Diceros bicornis minor: one gene and its partner. The protein of the gene in region 2 purifies or fractionates together with the protein of the main gene of each other region. This does not show direct contact. Links are inferred from orthologs where the notes say so. Each region holds a gene or a part of one and is shown on either strand. Other genes may lie near its edges.

The links. The genes of interacting proteins can lie anywhere in the genome.
Region 1: the proteins of PSMD4 (region 2) and TXNL1 purify together in Homo sapiens (affinity purification with mass spectrometry; 3 studies listed by BioGRID, with this or other methods). This does not show direct contact. The link is inferred for Diceros bicornis minor from reciprocal best matches to the Homo sapiens genes PSMD4 and TXNL1.

The regions. Positions count from the first base shown.
Region 1 is NC_080755.1:48,230,208-48,240,788, forward strand, and holds the start of TXNL1 (thioredoxin-like protein 1), read right to left. Parts: upstream 5,119-10,581; 5' UTR 4,961-5,118; coding exon 4,863-4,960; intron 1-4,862. UniProt on the Homo sapiens protein: Active thioredoxin with a redox potential of about -250 mV.
Region 2 is NC_080743.1:55,515,328-55,526,096, reverse strand, and holds the start of PSMD4 (26S proteasome non-ATPase regulatory subunit 4), read right to left. Parts: upstream 4,166-10,769; 5' UTR 4,102-4,165; coding exon 4,076-4,101; intron 1-4,075. UniProt on the Homo sapiens protein: Component of the 26S proteasome, a multiprotein complex involved in the ATP-dependent degradation of ubiquitinated proteins.

The DNA.
Region 1 (10,581 bases), on a different chromosome or scaffold from region 2:
GCACCGAGGCACCGCTTCTCCGGCCATGCTGAGGCCGCGTCCCACATACAGCAACTAGAAGGATGTACAACTACAACATACAACTATCTACTGGGGCTTTGGGGCAAAAAAAGGAGGAGGATTGGCAATAGATGTTAGCTCAGAGCTGGTCTTCCTCAGCAAAAAGAGGAGGATTAGCAAGGATGTTAGCTCAGGGCTGATCTTTCCCACAAAAAAAAAAAAAGTGATGAGAAGGAGCCTGCAGGAGGTTGGAGGAGGGGAGGGGATTGCAGAGTGTTGGTGTTGGTTAAACAGGAGTAACCACTTTGAAAATTTATCAAATTATACACTTAAATGATTTGTGTACATTTTTGTATGCATGCTATACTTCAATAAAAAAAAGTTTACTTAAAAAAAATTCTTTATATCTTCTCTAGGGCCTCATCATGCCCTAGTTAACTTGCAGCTCACTATCTGCCTGGTCCTTATGGACTGTTGGGTCTGCTAACTCTGTAATACGGTCAACTACTTTCAGTCTGAAGCAATTTTGCAATATATAATTAATACTACATATATAATGTATTATTTTGGACAAACTACCATAACCATTAGAACTCAAAATCCTAATATACACTGACATTCTTTTTGGATAGCAACAATAACACCTAACCAACTACAAAGACCTCCTTTAAAAAAATTGGATATATGGTTAACATATCTACAGAAGTGATACATTCATGAATTCAAGACAAAAATCATTCATACTGAGTTTTATTGGGGAGAAAATGTGAAAAGTTGGAGCTTACTCACCAATGATAACAACAAAACTGGCACTGCTTATAACCACTAAAATGTGTCTGGGTATATTTAAGAGGTAACAATTTGGAGATAACAGTTATAAAAACATGTTACCACAGGATATAATTCACATATATAATTTCATTTTCTAAATAATATGGTTAGGTTACATGTTATTATTCCCATTTTTCAGGTAGGGAAAAGAATTTCAGAGAGTGAACTGAATTGTCCTCAGTCATAAGATTAGTTTGCAGGCAGAGGTGTAGCTAAATCATTCAAGGCAACATTTACTGAAAAATGTCAGGCTCCATGCAATACACAGAGATGAACCTGCATTTCCTTTCTGCTTAGGCTGGGAGAGCAAGGATGGCATTTAACAATCCAAATAGTGCACTCAGCAATGGGACCTTAAACAAGTTATTTAACCTCTAACTTGCTCATTTGTAAAATGGGGATAATTTCAAAGATTATTTTGAGGACTGAATGAGTCAATATAACTGCTTACACAAGTCCCTTACACAGACTAAATAATATGTAAATGTTAACTATTTGAATTGCTTTAAAAAACACTGGAGAAGGGTGCCAAGACCATTCATTGGGGAAAAGACAGTTTTTTCAACAAATGGTGCTGGGAAAACTGGATATCCCCATGCGTTGGACCCTTACTTTACACCTTATACAAAAATTAACTCAAAATGGATCAACGACCTAAACTTAAGAGCTAAAACCATAAAATTCTTTGATGAAAACATAGGGGAAAATCTTCAGGACATTGAATTTGGCAATCATTTCTGGGATATGACACCAAAAGCACAAGCAATAAAAGAAAACATATATAAACTGGACTTCATCAAAATTTTAAAACTTTGTGCATGAAAGGACACTACCAAGAAAGTGAAAATGGGAGAAAATATTTGCCAATCTTCTCTGATAAGGGATTAACACCCAAAATATATAAAGAACTCTTACAACTCAACAACAAAAAAACAAACAGTGCAATTCAAAATGGGCAAAGGGCTTGAATAGACATTTCTCCAAAGAAGATAAAAAATATCCAATAAGCACATGAAAAGATGCTCAACATCATTAGTCATTAAGGAAATGCAAACCAAAACCACCAGATACCACTTCACACTCATTTAGGATGGCTATTAAAATATAAAAAGTGTTAGTGAGTAGCAAGTATGTAGAGAAATTGGAACTCTCATTCATTGCTGGTGGGAATGCAAAATGGTGCAGCCACTGTGGAAAATAGTTTGGCGATTTCTCAAAAAGTTAAGCATAGAATTACCATAAAATCCAGCAATTCCACTCCTAGGTATATCCCCCAAAGAACTGAAAGCAGGGACTCAAACAGATCCTTGCAGAACAATGTTCATAGCGGGATGATTCGCAATAGCCAAAAGGCAGAAACAACCTAAATATCTACCGACAGATCAATAAACAATATGTGTATATACGTACAATGGGAGTATTACTCAGCTTTAAAAAGGAAAGAAATCCTGACACACACTACTACCATGGATGAACCTTGAAAACATTATGTTACATGAAATAAGCCATAAACAAAAGGACAAATATTGTATGATTTCACTTATACGAGATACCAAGAACAGGCACATTCATAGAGACAGAAAGTAGAAGAGAGGTAACCAGGGACTGGTGGGGTGGAGTCAGGCGGAGACTGGGAGTTATTGTTAATGCGTACAGAGTTTCTGTCTGAGATGACAAAAAAAAAAAAATCTAGGAAACAGATAATGGTGAGAGTGGTACAATATTGTGAATGTACTTAATGCCACTGAATGCTACACTTAAAAATGGTTAAAATGGTAAATTTTATGTTACACATATTTTACTACAGTTAAAAAAACAACTGAAAAAATATACTGGAGAGGCACTGAAGACCCTTAAACAGAAGAGCAACAATCTGTATAGTGTTTTAGTAAAATTAACACGATGGATAAAGCACAGAAGTAGAGCATAACGAATAAGGCTTAAACTAGGGTTAAGAAATAGGTGCTGGAGGAAACTATGTTCCTGGCCTAAAATGGGACATTAACTTTGACCTGAGAGGTTTCTTACACGATTTTACTGGATATAGCTGTTTGAGGGTCTAATACTGATGCCCATGTATATAAATCTGGGGTCACACTGGCACAGGAATGCATTAATGAATGGCCAAAACGTTGAACTTGAAAGGCAAACACAATCTTATCAGACTTATGAATGTTACCTAAATATGCTTCTGAACTTAAAAGTTCTCTAAATTCAAACATTTTATTTGTTTGCTCTCAGTTCCTACAAACAAAATAAAATTTTCATCCACCAAAATACCTTTTTAAAAGTAAATAAGAACACAGTGCCTTATCAACCAATACCTGCAGTTATGTTTACAGTTAAATGATACCATGCTGCTAATGGAAGTGTTTCCTTAGTAGCAATGTTTCCCCACTTTTCTCACTTTAATTAAGAAATTATTTATTCCTTTGTCATCGCTCCCTCTGCTATGGTAAGGGAAAAAAAGAGTATATCATTGAGGGACAAAAGTCTAAATGCTCCCACTGACTAGAATTAGAAAAGTGAACTAAAAATGAGATTCACTGTTAAAATCATCTCTTCCCTTTTCCAACTTTGGCGTAAGTACTTAACAAATGTACAGGTATTCCCCCACATTAAGAACACAGACATCACAAAATTGCTAAAGCTGGGGAGACACACTTACAGAATTTTGACATTTCTTTTAAACATGTCTTTATACATGAAATCTTTATCCTCTTCAGTTTAGTAAATGTGAAAGTTCACATGTCAAACGAGTACTCTATTCCACCCTACAAAATCCAATGTACTGCCCCTTTTCAATTCTGTATAAGAGAGACTGGTCCAAAAATACGTCCTAGCTTTCTCTCATCTCTATCTGCATACTTCCATCCCAAAACTAGCTAATCCTAATGGCACCACTTACATACTCAACATTGACTGAATCCTGTGCCTGGAACTACACTTGTTGCTTTGAAATTTAAAATAATGCCTTACGTTTATAGTTACTTGGACAATAAAATGTGTTACATAAACAGTGGTACCTGTAGTAGATTTCTCCAAGTTAGTGTAAGTGTAAATAATGCCAAGGAGTCAAGGCAAATTAGTGGAGACCTCTAATCCTTCTGACTAGGCACTGACATACACAAGGGGAGCTCAGTGAACACACACACTGGCTGAAATCTTGGTTCTGAATGCCTAGTTCCAACGTGTCACTCTCACACAGGAACACTGCACACCCAATATGGAAGATCCACTAGCTCTACGACCTATAAATTACGTTGAGATTTACCAAAGACAGTTAACATCTTTCAAGATCCCTGTCCTCGAAAATCAAGTCAAAAATGGAGTTTATTTGGTCAAACCCAGACCTCTGGACACCTGTCTACCTGTATTGTGTATATATACACCTACCATAATTTCTGTGATCAGACGCAATCGCATACAAAGGGGAGCCCAAAGTACAAAGTACAAAGTTACTAACCAAACGAGTAACAAAAACACTAAGAAAATTAAAAAGCATCCTGACTCAGCATTAACTTAATTTAAAATGCATTAGGTTAGCCTTAGGACTAAGCACTATGCGGATCAGTTGGACAGCCCCATCTGAATCTCCCAAAGGCTTTACAGATATCCAGGTGGTGAAGAGAACCAAAGTGTTCGGTAAATTAAGACTGCAGAGTTTCTAAGATGCAAGTGACAGCTGGCTCCCCGGAAAGAAGGGGACAGTCGCGCAGACTAGAAAGAACGGAGACGTACCACCCCCAAGAGCAGAGCCGGTCTGATGACTGAAAAGGTGCGGGCGGGGATCTCCTGGGCTGGGGCTGGGGAACACCGCCGGCCAGGCCTTTATGCCCGCCACAGACGCCCTGGTGCACGAATGGGGGGTCACACCCAAGAGCCGAGGCCTAACTGGGCAGCGGCCTGGGGCTGCGGTCAGCGCCGGACATTCCGGAGCAGAAGGAGACCGCGTGGGAGCGGGGCCGGGAAAGAGCGAAGGGAAAGCACGGGCGCACACCCGGGGCCCCAGGGCTCGAGCCCGGCCTCACCCTCGCATGGTGAACTTGACCACGGCGAGTCTAGAGCCCGCGCCGCTCAGCTCCGGCTGGAAATCCGGGTCGCTCCCGACCGGCTTCACTCCCACCATTCTCAGAGAGCCCGGCAAGGGCGGCCGCGACGCCACCGGCTTCGAAACGGAAGGAAAAGACGACCCACGAGACGAAGGGGGGAGGCTCAGGAAGGCCGAGGCCTGGACCGAGAAGGTGGCGGCCGCGACGTCTTCTCCCGGGGCTCGCAGTGCCGAGTCACGCCAGGGAGCACAGCGGCCGAGGGGGCGGGGACGGGCGGGGGAGGGGAGACGCGGAGGGAGGAAAGGCTTGCGGCACCCAGCAGCCCCCGCGCGCCACGGCCCCGGCGCTTGCGCACCTTGGCGTCATTTCCGCGCCGTCTGCTTTGGCTTCCACCACCCAATCCTAAAACGCGAGCCGTGGCCCCACCCTCGGCTAAGGAGCCCCACGCTGGCTGAGTGGCGTGGGCGCGGACGGGTAGCGGTCACCAGCGCAGGCGCAGACTGAGACTCAAAAGTTCATGTATTCCTCCGCGGTTCCAAAACCCGAGGCTTTTAGCCGGGAGTCTCCTTGGGGTGGGAAAGTGGAAAGGGAACCCCATTTTCTACGGGGTGCATAGGTACTGTCTAAGGTCTTAAGGCCTCCTGGAAGTACTTTGAGGATAGTCGTGTCTCATATTCGGGCAAGTCGCCACACTAGATGAAATAGACTTTAGAAACATATTTACGGGTTTCATTACGCGTGGGCGCTGTCTGTGCAGTCATCTAGAAAATATGCACCTGTCTTTAAGTTTTGCCTGAAAAAAATGAAAGCACCATCCTACCTTTGGGAAGCTCGCAGTCTAGTGATAGACGCAAACAATGGTTACAGTAGCAAAGAAATTTGCAATGAGATAGGAGGATGGAGCAGGGTAAATGTGCTAGGAGATGTGACCCCTAAACTGAATCTTGATAAAGAAAGGGTTTGCCAGATGCTGAGAGATGACAGGGGTATTCTAGGCAGAGGAACCAGCAGAGCAAATGCATGGGTTGAGAGGGCTGATATTAATAGCTAATATTTAACAAATTATATGCCAGACAAGATACAGGTTCTTTATGTATATTAGCTCATTTAATCCTCACAACAACCCTGTGAAGTAGGTTCTATTATTATTTCATGAGTAGACTAATTTTCCCAAGTTCACACACCTCGTAGAAAGTCAAGCAAGCACTCAAGGCAGTCTTAACACTCCCCTGCTCCTTGAAATATTAGGCTAGATGACATGAAATGATTTGCTTTTGGATTTAGCTGAGGAGATGAAACCGAAGAGGAGGTCAGATCAGAGGAGCAAAAGGAATTTGTAACATGAAACCAGTGGAGTAATCACTGCAGGGCAGTTTTGTGATTACACTTTAGAAAAAGCCCTGCGGTAGCAGTGAGGAGGATGGAAGACAGTGAGACTAGTTTAGGAGGTTACTGTGGTAATCCAGGAACTGAGTTATGGGAGCAGCTGCAGTGGACACGAAGAGGAAATGATATATTTGAGAAACAATTAGAAGATAAAAATCACAAGGTTTAGTGACCAATTGGACCAATTTAGTGAAATGACAGAGGAAGGAGTCTAGGATAATGCAAATATGTCAATCTTGTGGCTCTTTTTACTGAGTTAAGATGCCTGCAGGACATCCAGGTGAGGTGCACAGTTAAGTAGTAGGAAGAATGAGTCTGGAGCTAAAAAAAAAAGAGTAGTCTAAGGTTACTGACTTGAGATTCAGTAGTTTATGTGATAATTGAAGCCCAAGAAGTGTGAAAAGAGAAGGCTAAGGGTGCTGCAAAAACATAAAATAACTATTCCTAACAACCCAACCAGAGCAGAGCCATAGAAAATACATTCCTTTCTCACGTGATACCAGCACAGGGTAATGGCTTTAGAGACAAATAAGACAGAAGTTCCAATAATAATGCTCTGCTACTTATTATTTTTTGGCCATGGTCAAGCCACTAACCTCTCTGAACCTCAGCTTTCTTGTCTGTGACAATTGGCTTAATAATAACTACTTTCAGGCCGGCCCCGTGGCTTAGCAGTTAAGTGCGCGCGCTCCGCTACTGGCAGCCTGGGTTCGGAACCCCAGGCGCGCACCGACGCACCGTTTCTCCAGCCACGTCCCACATGCAGCAACTAGAAGGATGTGCAACTATGACATACAACCATCTACTGGGGCTTTGGGGTGAAAAAAGGAGGAGGATTGGCAATAGATGTTAGCTCAGAGCCGGTGTTCCTCAGCAAAAAGAGGAGGATTAGCACGGATGTTAGCTCAGGGCTGATCTTCCTCTCACACACAAAAAAATAATAGTAACTACTATCTAAGGTTGTGAGGGTTAAAGGTAATAATAGATGATGTACACAAAGAACTAGAACATAAGGTGCTCGATAAAAGATGTTTATAAACGACAATATATTAGCAATGGCTGCCATAACAAAATTCCACAGACTCGGTGGCTTAAACAACAGAAATTTATTTCTCACAGTTCTGGAGTCTGGAAGTCCAGGATCAAGGTGCCTAACAGGGTTGGTTTCTCCTCAGGCCTCTCTCTTTGGCTTGTAGATAGCCGCATTCTCACTGTGTCCTCATGTGGCCTTCTATCTGTGCACACACATATCCCTGATGTCTCTTCCTCTTCTTGTAAGGACACTAGTCCTATGGCCCCACCCTTATGACCTCATTAAACCTTAATTACTTCCTAAAGGCCCTATCTCCAAATATAGTCATGTTGGAGGTTAGGGCTTTAACCTATGAATTTTGGGGGGACACAACTCAGTACATAACAGATGGATTATTATTATTACCAATGGTCCTCCCAGTTTTGTCTAAAAAGCAAACAGAAAGAGTCTCAACTAAGGCAGCTAAAGTAAATATTAAGGGGGGAAGGTGTTTATGAAAGCAAGACTCTAGAAACCCATAGATTCCTGAAAGGCAAGATAAAAAGAGGCATTGTAAAAGTCAGATATGTGAGGGCATTTTGTTGTTTATTTTCCATGTGTCCCTTCACATCCACTCTCAACCTTTCTTCACCCTCCTCTTAGCCCCAGGATACTGACCTATAATGACTGGACCAATAGAATCCCTTGTGGGAGCTGCTTCTTGGAGATTTAAGGGTAAAAGAGAGTGAGATCCAGTTATGAATTCTCTCAGCTCTCATCCTGCTGTGTTGACACAGGTTGATTGTATCTCTACCAAAGGCCGCCATAGCTCCTGTCGGGAGGCTCTTCATACCATTACCCTTTTTGTGTTCCTGTGACCACTGTCTTCCCTTGTCCCTTCAGGCCTAGGGGTAGGAATCACTCCTGGCTGTTGGTAGCACCAGCATACTAGCTGAGAAACCCTGGCCTGCCCACCTGGCCTGCTGCTGCTGTTGCAGACCTGACTGCACAACAGAAGCAGAGACACTGGCCACCAAAATCCCAAGGCCAGGATCTCTCAGAAGAAGCAGAGGTACCTGAAACCCATAATTCCTAGATGGGCTTCCATACTTATAGAAGGAACCATCTCCAGCCACACAGCAAGCTCTCCTCTAACTGGTAGGCCAGATACTCCCAGCTAATCAGCAACACTCAGAGACTTCACTTTCCTAATACCAAGAGAGGTCTTTTGGTTTAAAAAGAACTACCATCTTTCTCCTTCCCTGCTTTCAGCCCTCAGAGCCTAGATCCGGTCCCCTTCTTTACAGTAACACTCTTCCACACACCACTCAATTCCTGATGTCTTTGTCTTTATTTTCTCTTCAACAACACCATCCCTTTTTGCTTCTCCTAAACCCTGTCTACAGGTTTGTTAATATTCCCCTTCCTAAACTGTCCTCAATTACCCACTTTGAATGTGCCATCTTTTTCCTGTTGTGACCCTGACTGATATAAAATTTTTAAAAAAATGATTAAACATCAGGGAAATTTGAGGCTAGAAGATTAATATAGCAAGCTGCAGGTAAATATTTGAGAGTTGCCAGCACAGAGGTCATAGTTGATACCATTAAAGTAGATGAGTTCATTAGGAAATATATAGAAAAGCAAGGAGTTATAGCAGATATTTAAAGACAACCACAAATAGGGAGTAAAATAGGAAAGAAGAGGTAGCAAAAAAGCAGAGAGGCAGGAAGAAAATTACAAAAGTCAGAGGTCAGAGGATGAGGACTGAGGAACACCTTTGTATGTAGCAAGGGGTTCCCTGGTTATCCTCCAGAGAACCAGCGCAGTTCAGTGAATTAAGATGGGAAGCAGCTCAATGGCAGGCACAGCAAATTCTCCAGGGCCTCCAGTGTGTCAGGCTCTGTGCTAAATCCTCAGAAGTTAAAGATAATTCCTACATGTTTCTGTCCTTGGAGACACACACTCTCGTGAGAGATCCTGACACAACCTGGAGACACAAGCCAGGTGGCAGTTGTCGTCCCTACGCTACTGATGACAAGGCTGACCTTCAGAGAAGTGTGTAACTCATTCAGTTATACACTATGCAGCTGCTTAGTCCTCTCAAGGTTGCACTCAACGTTATACAGAAACAGACTTTATATATGTGCGTCGAAACTTTTAGCAGACATTATCACATGGTGCTGCTCTTTTAGGGGATTTTTTTCCCATCTATATTTTCTAAATTTCTTCAATGATTATAAATAGTATATTTAATAATAAAAAAGAAAGAAAGCACAAGCAGGAAAGGAGGTTCCATGCAAGACTCTACAAGGAACGCCCATGTTTCTTCCTTGCCTTATTAGTAACAACTAAAACAAAAAATAATATTCGCAGTTAATTGGTCTCCTTGTGTTGTTTAGCTAATGCTTAATTTCATTAAGTAAAATAAGCTTTTGGTGGATGAAATTTTCTCAAAAGACGTTATCATTTTTCTTTGAAGTCTGCATATGCCACCCCGAAAACCCCATTTCCTGGGATTTCCACGAAAATTTTAGAAAAATCTTGCAGACGCTAACACTTCTGCAAGGACAGCTTGTGATTATTTTTAGGAGGGTGGGGACACTCTCTCCACGCCTGAGATTAACACATTCAGAAATGTTAAGTATGCTGCACACAAACTTCTCCACCCCATCCTTCACTTGGCCATGGCGGGCATCCCTCTTAAACGCCACGGGTTCCCAGAGTTTAGCCTCAGCCTCAGAATTCTACTCAGCAGCACCTGGAACCAGAGTCAACAATCAAGATAAAACCTATTTGCCATCCCACACCTTAATATAACTATCATACCCTGAAATTCATAGTGTCTAGGAATTGTCTATTCTCAAGCTGTAGTGAGTTCATTAAAACGTGGGTTCCCAGTTTCACACCTAGAGATTCTGCTTCAGTAGAGCTGGAGCGTGGCCTGGGAATCTGAATTTTAACAAGCACCCAGGGTAGCTGATGCAAGGAGTCCATATTTTGAGAGACATTATTTGATGATAACTTGTCTACTATTATGTAACATTTATTATGCACTTACTACGTACAAGGTAATGTGATAATTCTTTGAAAGATCTCTCCTCCAGGAACATTGAAAGAGAAATAAGACACTTCTACAGAAGCTAATAATACAAATTAAAATGTGGTAAGTGCCATAGCAGAAATACAAATAACATATTGTAGTGGTTCAAAAAAAGGAGAGAAAATTTCCAGCTGGAATGAGCAGACAATGCTTTATGAAGGAATATGTTCTAATAATCAGGCCAGGATAAACATGGG
Region 2 (10,769 bases):
CCTTAGAATTCTAATAGTCAGTGATTCCATCTGTGTTGATGGAAGAAAGCAGCATCCTAGATGAGACACCTCATTTCTAATGGCAAGCAAAATATGGGCTTGGGGGCAATTTTCTTCTATAGTATCCCTTGCCTGGCAATAAATACAAAACAAAAATGATGAAGAGTTAATTAAGAAGCTACTGGGGGCCGGCCCGTGGCTTAGTGGTTAAGTGCGCGCGCTCCCTTACTGGCGGCCCGGGGTTTGGATCCCGGGCGCACACCTGATGCACCCCTTCTCCGGCCATGCTGAGGCCGCGTCCCACACACAGCAACTAGAAGGATGTGCAACTATGACATACAACTATTTACTGGGGCTTTGGGGAGAAGCAGGGAAAAAAAGGAGGAGGATTGGCAATAGATGTTAGCTCAGAGCCAGTCTTCCTCAGCAAAAAGAGAAGGATTAGCACGAATGTTAGCTCAGGGCTGATCTTCCTCACAAAAAAAAAAGCAGCAGCAGCAGCTACTGGAAGGCAAGTAGAAAAGGGTGTAAAGGGCAGTATTCAGGCTCAGGTTCAAATTCCCACTCTACTCCTTACTAATTCTATGATCCTAAGGAAGGTACTTAACTTCTCTAAGGTCCAGTTACCTCATGTGTAAAATGGGCTTTATTGTACCTACCCTTATAGGATTGATATGAAGATTAAATGCACAGAAAGTACTTATCACAGCGTCCAACGGTAAGCATGAAACAGACTAGTTCTTAAAATGGAAACTCTACCTAAAGGAGGTCAAGGGCTGACGCTACTGATCATGCATTATATTCTTTTTTTCCTGATACATTGCTTCTGATTATTCTCCAGCAGGGAAGTAACTGCCTCTCTAGCTTCAAATCCAGTGAGTCCAAATATAAAAAACAATGGAGGCTTTGAGGATGGTCCAGATGGAATAGCTACTAAGTATAAGGATTGTAGGCAAGACCAGCAGATGTATGAGGGCTGGAAGAAATGTGTCTGAGTAAGAAAGGGGGCTTGAGAGACAGCGAGAACTGACAGTTTGTTGTGTATCAGAACCAGTGGGAGGGTGACGGTAGTGGTGGTGGTGTTAAAAACACTACATATGCATCCCTAAAAAACACATTGTTTAGTTTTCCCAATTTTGAACTTTAAATGATTGGAATAATATATGTATTTCTTGTGACTACTTTTGCTCAACAGTATGTAATTTTTCTCGACAAAAATTTATATCAAAATAAGGGCTTACACAGAGCCAATCTTCCTCACCAAAAAAGAGGAGGATTGGCATCAGATGTTAGCTCAGGGCTGATCTTCCTCACAAATAAATAAATAAATAAATAAATAAATAAATAAGGGCTTACAATATTATCCAGCCAAAATCTTCATTTAAGTGGCCGGCCCGGTGGCATAGTGGTGAAGTTCACACGCTCCGCTTCAGCGGCCCAGGGTTCACAGGTTTGGATCCCAGGTGTGGACCTATGCACAGCTTATCATTAACAAGCCATGCTGTGGCAGGTGTCCCACATATAAAGTAGAGGAAGATGGGCAGGGATGTTAGCCCAGGGCCAATCCTCCTCAGCAAAAAGAGGAGTATTGGCAACAGATGTTAGCTCAGGGCTAATCTTCCTCACCAAAAAATAAAAAATAAAAAAATTTTAAAAATCTTCATTTAAAAAAAGAATACAGATGCCAGGACGTCCCTGGCTAGAAGTCTGACTCAGCAGATTGAGAATAGAGTCAAATATTTGCAACTTTTAAAAAACTCCTCCAGGGGCCGGCCCCGTGGTGTAGCGGTTAAGTGCGCGTGCTTCGCTGCTGGCAGCCCGGGTTCTGATCCCGGGCGCGCACCGAGACACCACATGTAAGGCCATGCTGTGGTGGCGTCCCATATAAAGTGGAGAAAGATGGGCACACATGTTAGCCCAGGGCCAGTCTTCCTCAGCAAAAAGAGGAGGATTAGCATGGATGTTAGCTCAGGGCTGATCTTCCTCACAAAAAAAAAAAAAAGAAAGAAAGAAAGAAAGAAACTCCTCCAGAGAATTCTGATGTACAGCAAAGCATGAGGCCCTACAGACAAAAGGAGTGGTTCTCATCATTATTCTGTGCCAGGGATAGTACAACAGGCCATCAATATATCTCTCTGGGCCAAATCTTTCCTCCTATACATCAAGGCAGATCAATAATATTAAATGCCATTTTATATACAGCTCTGCCTCCACCACCCTCTTTTTCTTTTTTTTTTTTCTGTGAGGAGATCAGCCCTGAGCTAACATCCGCCAATCCTCCTCTTTTTTTGCTGAGGAAGACGGCCCTGGGCTAACATCTGTGCCTATCTTCCTCCACTTTATATGGGACGCCGCCACAGCATGGCTTACCAAGCGGTGCGTCGGTGCGCGCCCGGGATCCGAACCAGCGAACCCCGGGGCCTCCGCAGCGGAGCGCGCGCACTTAACCGCTTGCGCCACCGGGCCGGCCCACCACCCTCTTTTTCAATAGTTCTTTACTGAAGGGTACAGGACAGAGTTCAACCTCCTCAGCTTGACATTTGTGGTCTTCCACCTGGTCCCATCTACCTTTCCAAAGAAACACACAAAAAAACAAAAAACTGCCTTAAACTGACAACCATATATCACACTAGTCTCTTTCCTAATGCCTAAATATGCCTTGGGTATTTACACTTCAGCAGCTGTATGCCCTTCCCTCTACCTGTAATGGCCTCTCCTTCTCAACATTTGTCTAAGTTCCTTCCAGACCCCTCTTAAATTCTTTCTTACTTAAATTCTTTCTTTTCTCAAGTACCATGGCAACTAATGTATGTACAGGGCTGTATAGCTTACAGAGCACCATCACATACATTTTACCTACCTGTGCTATAAGAAAAGTGAGTGTTACTATTTTTCCCATTTTATAGATTAAGGGAGATTTACTACATTCTCAAGAACATGCAGCTGGGAAGTACCAAAAAACACAGGTTTTGGGATTCCAAATCCTGTCCTCTTTCTACTCTAACATGTTCTCTCCAGAGGTTGCCAGATTCAGCAAATAAAAATACAAGACTCCCAGTTTAAATCTGAATTTCAGATAAATAACAAACAAGATTTTAGGCTAAGTATGTCTCATGTACTATTTGGGACACACTTATTGCCATTTTCTTATATTAAAATGTATTATTTACCTGAAATCCAAATTTAAACGGGCATCCTATATTTTATCTGGCAGTGCTATCCTCCCCCAAAAAAGGAAACTCTTAGGTGTCTGCTCCATCCAACTGGCAATTTGTGTGTGTGTACTAGTCTGTATTATACTCTATGCTCACACTTGGAAGAAACTCTTGAAACCTTGCAAAAGTTTGTGTCCTCAGCTTCTAATCCAACTCATAACACTCAGCCCAAGTCTGCGACTGATGAAGAGAGCTAGCTCACCAGACAGAAGCCTTTGTATCCGATAGCCCTGGGTTTAAACCTTGGCTCCACCACTTAATTAGCTGTGTGACTTTGGGTAAGTCATTTAAAATTGCTGAGACTCGGTATCTTCATCTGTAAAATGGAGAGATATTTACCTTGAAGTGTTGTGAGGTTTAAGTGAGATAAAGTAAATTAATGTCTGACACACAGAAAGCAATCTATAAACAGTACCTTCGAAGATGATACAGGGAAAGGTAACGGAGTTAGAGGGAATGGGGCAGGGAAGGGATTTATAATCTCTCTTCCTAACATCCTTTATTTAAACAAGAAGACAGGAGGGCAGAAAACTATAACGATAAGTCCGAGAAACAAGACTCTGGCTACAGACAGACCTGAGGCTGGTCTAGGGAAGATGACGCGGAATAAAGAAAGGTAGCAGGGATCGGCCGGTCACTGGCTGTCTGCAGGTTGAGGGTTAATGGGGGGTACCCCGGGCCTGTCCTCTTCTCCCGGCCTCGGGATGACTCAGGAAGTCGATGCGGCTCCTTCCCTCCCGGCCCAAGGCCGCATCTCGCCCATCAGCCCCCCTCCTCCTCCTCAGGCCCGTCCGGCCTCCGCGCGACAGGCGCCCCCTACCCAATCCCGCCCCCCACGGAGCCCCGAGATAGTTCCTCACCAAACCATAGTGCTTTCCAACACCATCTTGCCAGCTTCCTCCCTCCCCGACCGGTTCTCCTGGACCGCCTAACAACAACTCCTCCAATTGGCCCGGCGCTCACCACCAATCACAGACCTCGCTTCGGCCAGCTGGTTCCGCCTTCATCCTCCGCGTTGCGTTCTGGGAGTTGTAGGCGCAGCCAAAATAGGACGTTTGGGGGCGGGGGGGACACACACAAAGAGGGCCCACCTCCACCTTTTGTACCATTCAAGTTCTCTGGTGGAGTTCCCTCCTGGCGGGATCTAAGAGAAGCTGTAGGGAAACCTCTGAAACTGCTGTGGATGTATCTGTACTAGCATCGTCCTTTTTAAAAAGTGGTGGCACGACTAATGACGTTCCACCTCCCTTTGTTCCCCATACCACTTTTTCATCTAACTGCTAAAGTCCTTAACTCCCTGAACTGCATTTATTTGTGTATCTGTGTCTCCCATTTAATTAAGGGCAGGAAAGGTGTCTTAATCTCTGCAATTGTTGAGCCCACTACAGAGCCTAACACGCGGTAGGTGCCCAGAAAAGGTTTGATGAATCAGCACCTTTAACTAATCTCCCAAAGAATGAGAAACAAACCATTTTGGTTTGTTAATCAAGAATGACATTCAAAAATGCTTTGGATTACTTTCCCCTACGCACGCACGCACGCGCGCGCGCACGCACACACACCAAGTAAAACTGTAAATTCCAGGTCTATCTTGGAGGGAAAGGGGAAAGGAGAGAGGGACCAGGCACTGCCACACCATGCACACACATACTTAGAGATGCGAGAGAGGAGTGTTGTATTTCCTAGATGTTACTAAAGTTTTAATGGATATGTTCAAAAGTTATTGGTAACCATCAGAGCTTGTATAGGTGTAAAATCTCCATATCACCAGAGAAAAAAAAATCTGTCAACATAACCACAGATAGGAAAGGGGAAAAAAAATAAGAAAGCACAGAAAAATAATTAGTGACAAGTTCAAACATAACCAAAATATTTTAAAAACAAGACAAGAATTATGTTTTTTAAAAAACAGCTGCACAATGTAAATAGAGACACACCAAACTAAGTGACAAAAGGTAAAAATAAAGGAAGAGGGAAAAACAACATACCAGGCAATAGTAATAAAAGAAAGCATGTGTAGCTATATTAATATTGTACAAAATAGAAATCAACACAAATAGCTGAAATCAGATCAAGAGAAGAATATTTCATAACATATAAAATTCATCAACAAAAAAATGCTCTGGGTTAATCAAGATAATACAATTCCAAAGACAAGTTGAACATCAGGGATAATTATAAGTTAGTATTCTTTTTTTTTTTTTAAAGATTTTATTTATTTATTAATTTTCCCCCCAAAGCCCCAGTAGATAGTTGTATGTCATAGCTGCACATCCTTCTAGTTGCTGTATGTGGGACGCGGCCTCAGCATGGCCGGAGAAGCAGTGCGTCAGCGCGCGCCTGGGATCCGAGCTCCGGCCGCCAGCAGCGGAGCACACGCACTTAACCGCTAAGCCACGGGGCCACCCCAGAGTTAGTATTCTTCTAAATGTGGAAGTAAACAAAGACAAACATTCAACCCAAACAAAGGGACTAGGAACTGAACGAATACCGTCATCACTGTTCTGGGAAAACATGATCCATGATATCTGTGCAGAGAGGTGTCACCTTCTCAGCTTTAGTCAGACATTTAATAGATTGTGACCAGTTTTTAGTTAGTACACTTTTAAAAGTCTATGGAGATATTGCGAAGAAGACAAAAATATAGTGACCATAAAAAAATGAGATAGTGAAAAATAGGTCTTAATAAGGACGATTTGATTCAACCTGGAGAATGGAGAACTAAAACTTTCTTCAAATAGAGAAGATATCCTATTAGAACCGTGTCAGAAGCTTCTCAATTAAGAGATATGTAAGCTGCAACAATGCACACAAAAGATGATAGGATCATATTTAAGTAAAACAAAAGCTCTATAATGAAAAAAGCAAAAACAAAAATAATTCATTCAGGGGGCGGCCCGCTGGCGCATAGGTTAAGTGCACCTGCTCCGTTTCAGTGGCCCGGGGTTTGCAGGTTCAGATCCTGGGCGCGCACCGATGCACCGCTCATCAAGCCATGCTGTGGCAGCGTCCCATATAAAGTGGAGGAAGATGGGCATGGATGTTAGCCCAGGGCCAGTCTTCCTCAGCAAAAAGAGGAGGATTGGCATGGGAAGTTACCTCAGGGCTGATCTTCCTCACAAAAACAAACAAACAATTCATTCATTTACCTGTGGGCCAGGAACTATTCTGGGCACTTGGAAGGGAACAAAACAAAATCCTGCCCTTAGGGAGCTTACATTCCATGGGGGAAGGTAGCAATAAACCAATAAGTAAATATATATACAGTAGACCCCCCTTATCCTTGAGGGATCTGTTCCAAGACCCCCAGTGGTTGCCTGAAACCACAGATAGTACCAAACCTCATATATGCTATGTTTTTTCCTATACATACATACATATGCTAAAATTTAACTTATAAATTAGGTACTGTAAGAGATTAACAACAATAAATAATAAAATTGGCTTTGGGGCCATTATTAAGTAAAATAAGGGTTACTTGAACACAAGCACTGGGATACAGTCAATCTGATAACCGAAATGAGTACTAAGTGAGTAATGGGCTGGTAGCATATACACCGTGGATATGCTGGGCTAATGGATGATTCACATCCTGGGTGGGATGGGAGGTGGACAGCGCAAGATTTCATCACAGTACTTAAAATGGTGTGCAGTTTAAAACTTACAAATTGTTTATTTCTGGAATTTTCCATTTAATATTTTTGGACTGTGGTTGATTTCAGGTAACAAACCACGGCAAGTGAAACCGCGGATAAGGGGGAACTACAGTATTGTCAATTAATGGTAGGCAGTGCAGAGAAAAACAAACCTGAGTGGATGTGGTTTCTATTTTACGTAAATAGGATATTAGGAAAGACTTACATTTGAACAGAGACCTGAAGGATACCTGGGTGAAAGAGTAAGTGCAAATGCCTCAGGCAAGAGTGTACTTAAGAACAAGGAGGCCAGTAGAGGCTGGAGTGGAGGGAGAGAGAAGAAATGAGACCAGAGAGGCAGAGGGAGTAAAGAGAGGTTGGATCATGTACAGCCTCATAGATCATTTTAAGGACCCTGAGTGAGATGAGGAGCTGCTGGAAAGTTTTCAACAGAGGCTTGACGGATCTGACAAGGTTTTAATAGGATCACTCTGGCTGCTGCATTGAGAACAGACTGGGGAAAAAGGGGGGATGGAGATAGACCAGTTAGGAGACTACTTCAGTGATCAGATATGATGGAGGCTTATTCTAGGGCAGTAACAAGAGGTGAAAATGGTGACATGTGGTAGGATTTCGAGTATATCATAAAGGCACAAACTGACAGAATTTGCCAATGGATTTAATGGAGGATGTAAAAGAAGGGAGTCTTAAGGAAGACACCAGAGTTGGTTCTAAGCAACTAGAAGAATGGAGTCACTATTTCTAAAGATGAGTTAGGAGGGGTGGGAACCAGAAATTCAGCTTTTGGACATGTTAGGTTTAAGATACCTAGATGGAGATGTCAAATAAGCAGGTGGATATACGAGTTTGCAGTTCAGAAAAAAGGTCTGGGCTGCAGATAGAAATTTGAGAGTTTTTAGCTGATATTTAGATGGTATTTAGATCATGAGGTGACAAGGGAGTTGGACAAATTGTTCAGGATCTTTAGGCCACTGTAAGGGCTTTTTAAAATTACCTAGGGAGTGAATGTAGACTAAAAGAAGGAGTCCTATGATTGAGTCCTGGGATGCTTCAACATTTAAAGGTTACAGAGAAGAGGAACCAAAAGAGGATGGAGATGCAGCAGCACAGCATCTTAGTAAGAACCTGAGAAAGTAGTATCCCAGAAGCGAAGTGAAGAAAATGTTTCAAGGAGGGAGTAATAAACTATCAGATGCTGTTGACATGTCAAGTAAGATGAGGAGTGATATATTTAGCAACACAGAGGTCATCAGCGACTTTAGTAAAAGATACTTTGGTTGGGTGGTGGGGGCAAAAACTTGGAGTGTATTCAACAGAGATTGGGGTCAAAAAAACTATTTGTAAAAATTCATTTGTAAGACAATTGACTAACTTTGACCACTGACTGGGTATTTGTTATTAAGAAATTATTAGTTTTTTAAGGCATGATAATGTCATAGTTATGTTTTTAAGAAGAGTCCTTATCTCTTGAGTTACTTGTTGAAATATTTATGGATGAAAGGATATGATGTCTGGGATTTATTTTAACTTAATCCTTTGGAGGTACAGCAAGAAAGTAGGGGTGAGGTAGAAAGTATAGATGAAACAGATTGGCCTTATTTATGTTGATAATTATTGAAGCTGGGTAATGCATACATGGCAGTTCATTAAACTACTAAACTTTTCATTTGGAAATTTCCATAATAAAAAATTTTTTAAAAGAGAGGAGAGAAATTGGAAACAGCAAGGAGATGCTTTATAATGGACTTTTAAGAAATTATTTTGCAGGAGATGATATTGACCTGCTTTTTGTGTCCTTGAAAAACTAAAGAAAAAAACATTTTAATCTGAAATCTGTTTTAACTGGCAAATCTTTGTTTAAAGAATGAATAAGACTCCAACTCTGCTGAGTAACTTTCAGAATAGCTGAGATTGACATGCTTAAGGGTAAAACATTAGACTAGGATTTCCAGCTTTATTATCCTACGGTTTTGATTTTCCTAACTTTAGTTATAGAAGTTTTACAATAGGCCCTACTTGCATATGAAAATAGATTGCAGCCTAGTTATAGAATAAGTAGCAGCTAATGCTCACCACTAGAGGGACCCTCTAACCATAAGAGGGTATCTACTGTACCCACTCAGCAGTTGCCTATGTTGACGAGGGAGTGACAAGGTAAGGGTAGCAGAACGACCATTTATGCCTAAAACATGTTTGGATTCAATCCCTGTTAGAGAAGTTTTCTCCTGATCCAGCCTAAAGGAGGGCTGAGCCTGTGGCTTAAACTCAAATTCAAAACTTTGAGGGGCCGGGCAGGTGGTGTAGCAGTTAAGTTCGCTCACTCTGCTCCCCCTGCTTGGGGTTCGCGAGTTCAGATCCTGGGGCAGACCTGCGCACCGCTGATCAAGCCATGCTGAGGCGGCGTCCCATATAAAGTAGAGGAAGATGGGCACAGACTTTAGCCCAGGGCCAATCTTCCTCAGCAAAAAAAGAGGATTGGCAACAGACGTTAGCTTAGGGCTAATATTCTTCCAAAAAAAAAAAATTTTTTTTTTTGAGAATCCCCAATTCCCTCTTCACTCCTATTACTTGTTCTATTATAAAGCTTTCTTTTTTTATTACCGTCTCAATTCTCTCCCTTCCTCTCCAATTGATATCACCATCATCCTAGACTCACAACACCTCACACCTAAATTATTATAGTCTAGCCAGTCTGCTTTTTCTATCTACTTTGATAGAACTTTGTGAACAGACTCATCTCTGAATTATTTTGTTGTGTTCTACGTCCTACTTAAGGGCAAAAACATTCTATGGTTCCCTGTCGCCTACTGCCTACTGTTTAAAATAAAAATTCCTCAGCCTAGCAGTCAGGGTTTCCACTGTTACCTCCACCTATACCTATTCCAGTATTCTCACTCAGGTCTCCCTCCACATTGCTTTTCTGATACCTCTAGACCCTCGAGCTCAAGTGAAACCTGCCCCAACACTTCTAGCCCACAGTAACCTCTAATTTTCTTCTACCTTTATGTTCTGTACCACTTCTTCAGAGAACTGAAATCCTTAATTGTATCACATCTGACATGTTTTTGTGTACACCTATGTGTGTGTGCTCCTCCTGGATACTATAAACTCTTGAAGCTTGATTACTTCTTTAGATCTCCAACTACCCAGTGCATTGCTCCTTAGCTGCTGCTTAAATATCTATAGAATGATCTTAGCAAGATCGGGAATAGTGGTGTGGAAAAGAGCAATACTTAGTTAACTTGCTTCTCTCCAAAGTTCCCCCACCCACATACCTTAGAGCGAGCCCCCCTTTTTGTCTAGTCTTCCACCACAGTAAAAGGCCTAAGCTCAACCTCACAGAAGAGGAAACACAGAGCTGAAGGCATCAGCTTCTATGCTTTCTAAGAGTGACACTCCAGGGCCAGATCAGGGGAAGGAAAGGGAGGGAATCCTAGGGCCAATCTCAAGCTTGCTTTTCCCACTCTCTCTCTCCTTTCTTCCTAAACCTAAGATTTTGAGCTTTGGATCCCCAAATCCCTCAGTTAAAGTGGGTTGCAACCTACGGGGCAACAGACCTACAGTAGTTCCCTTCACATCCATTCACAGCTTTTCCTTGTCAAGTTTAAGTTGTTACGATGGAGGTAGGGAATGAAGCCATTTCTCTCAGCGTGAGTTAGCCTGAAGATGCAGTGAGGGAAACTGGAAAGCATGCAGCATTTGTTCAGGGCAACATGAACAAAACTGAGCCTGGGTGGTGGGGTAGGAGCATGGAGCAGATGGTATATGAAAAAGAACCAGGAAGATACAAGAGGTCTAAATAACTGATCAAAGTTTAATACATTAAAACCAGATATTTATCACTTTTATATTGCATTTGCCATTTCTGAACAATACAAAGTAGAGGCAAATAGTGACA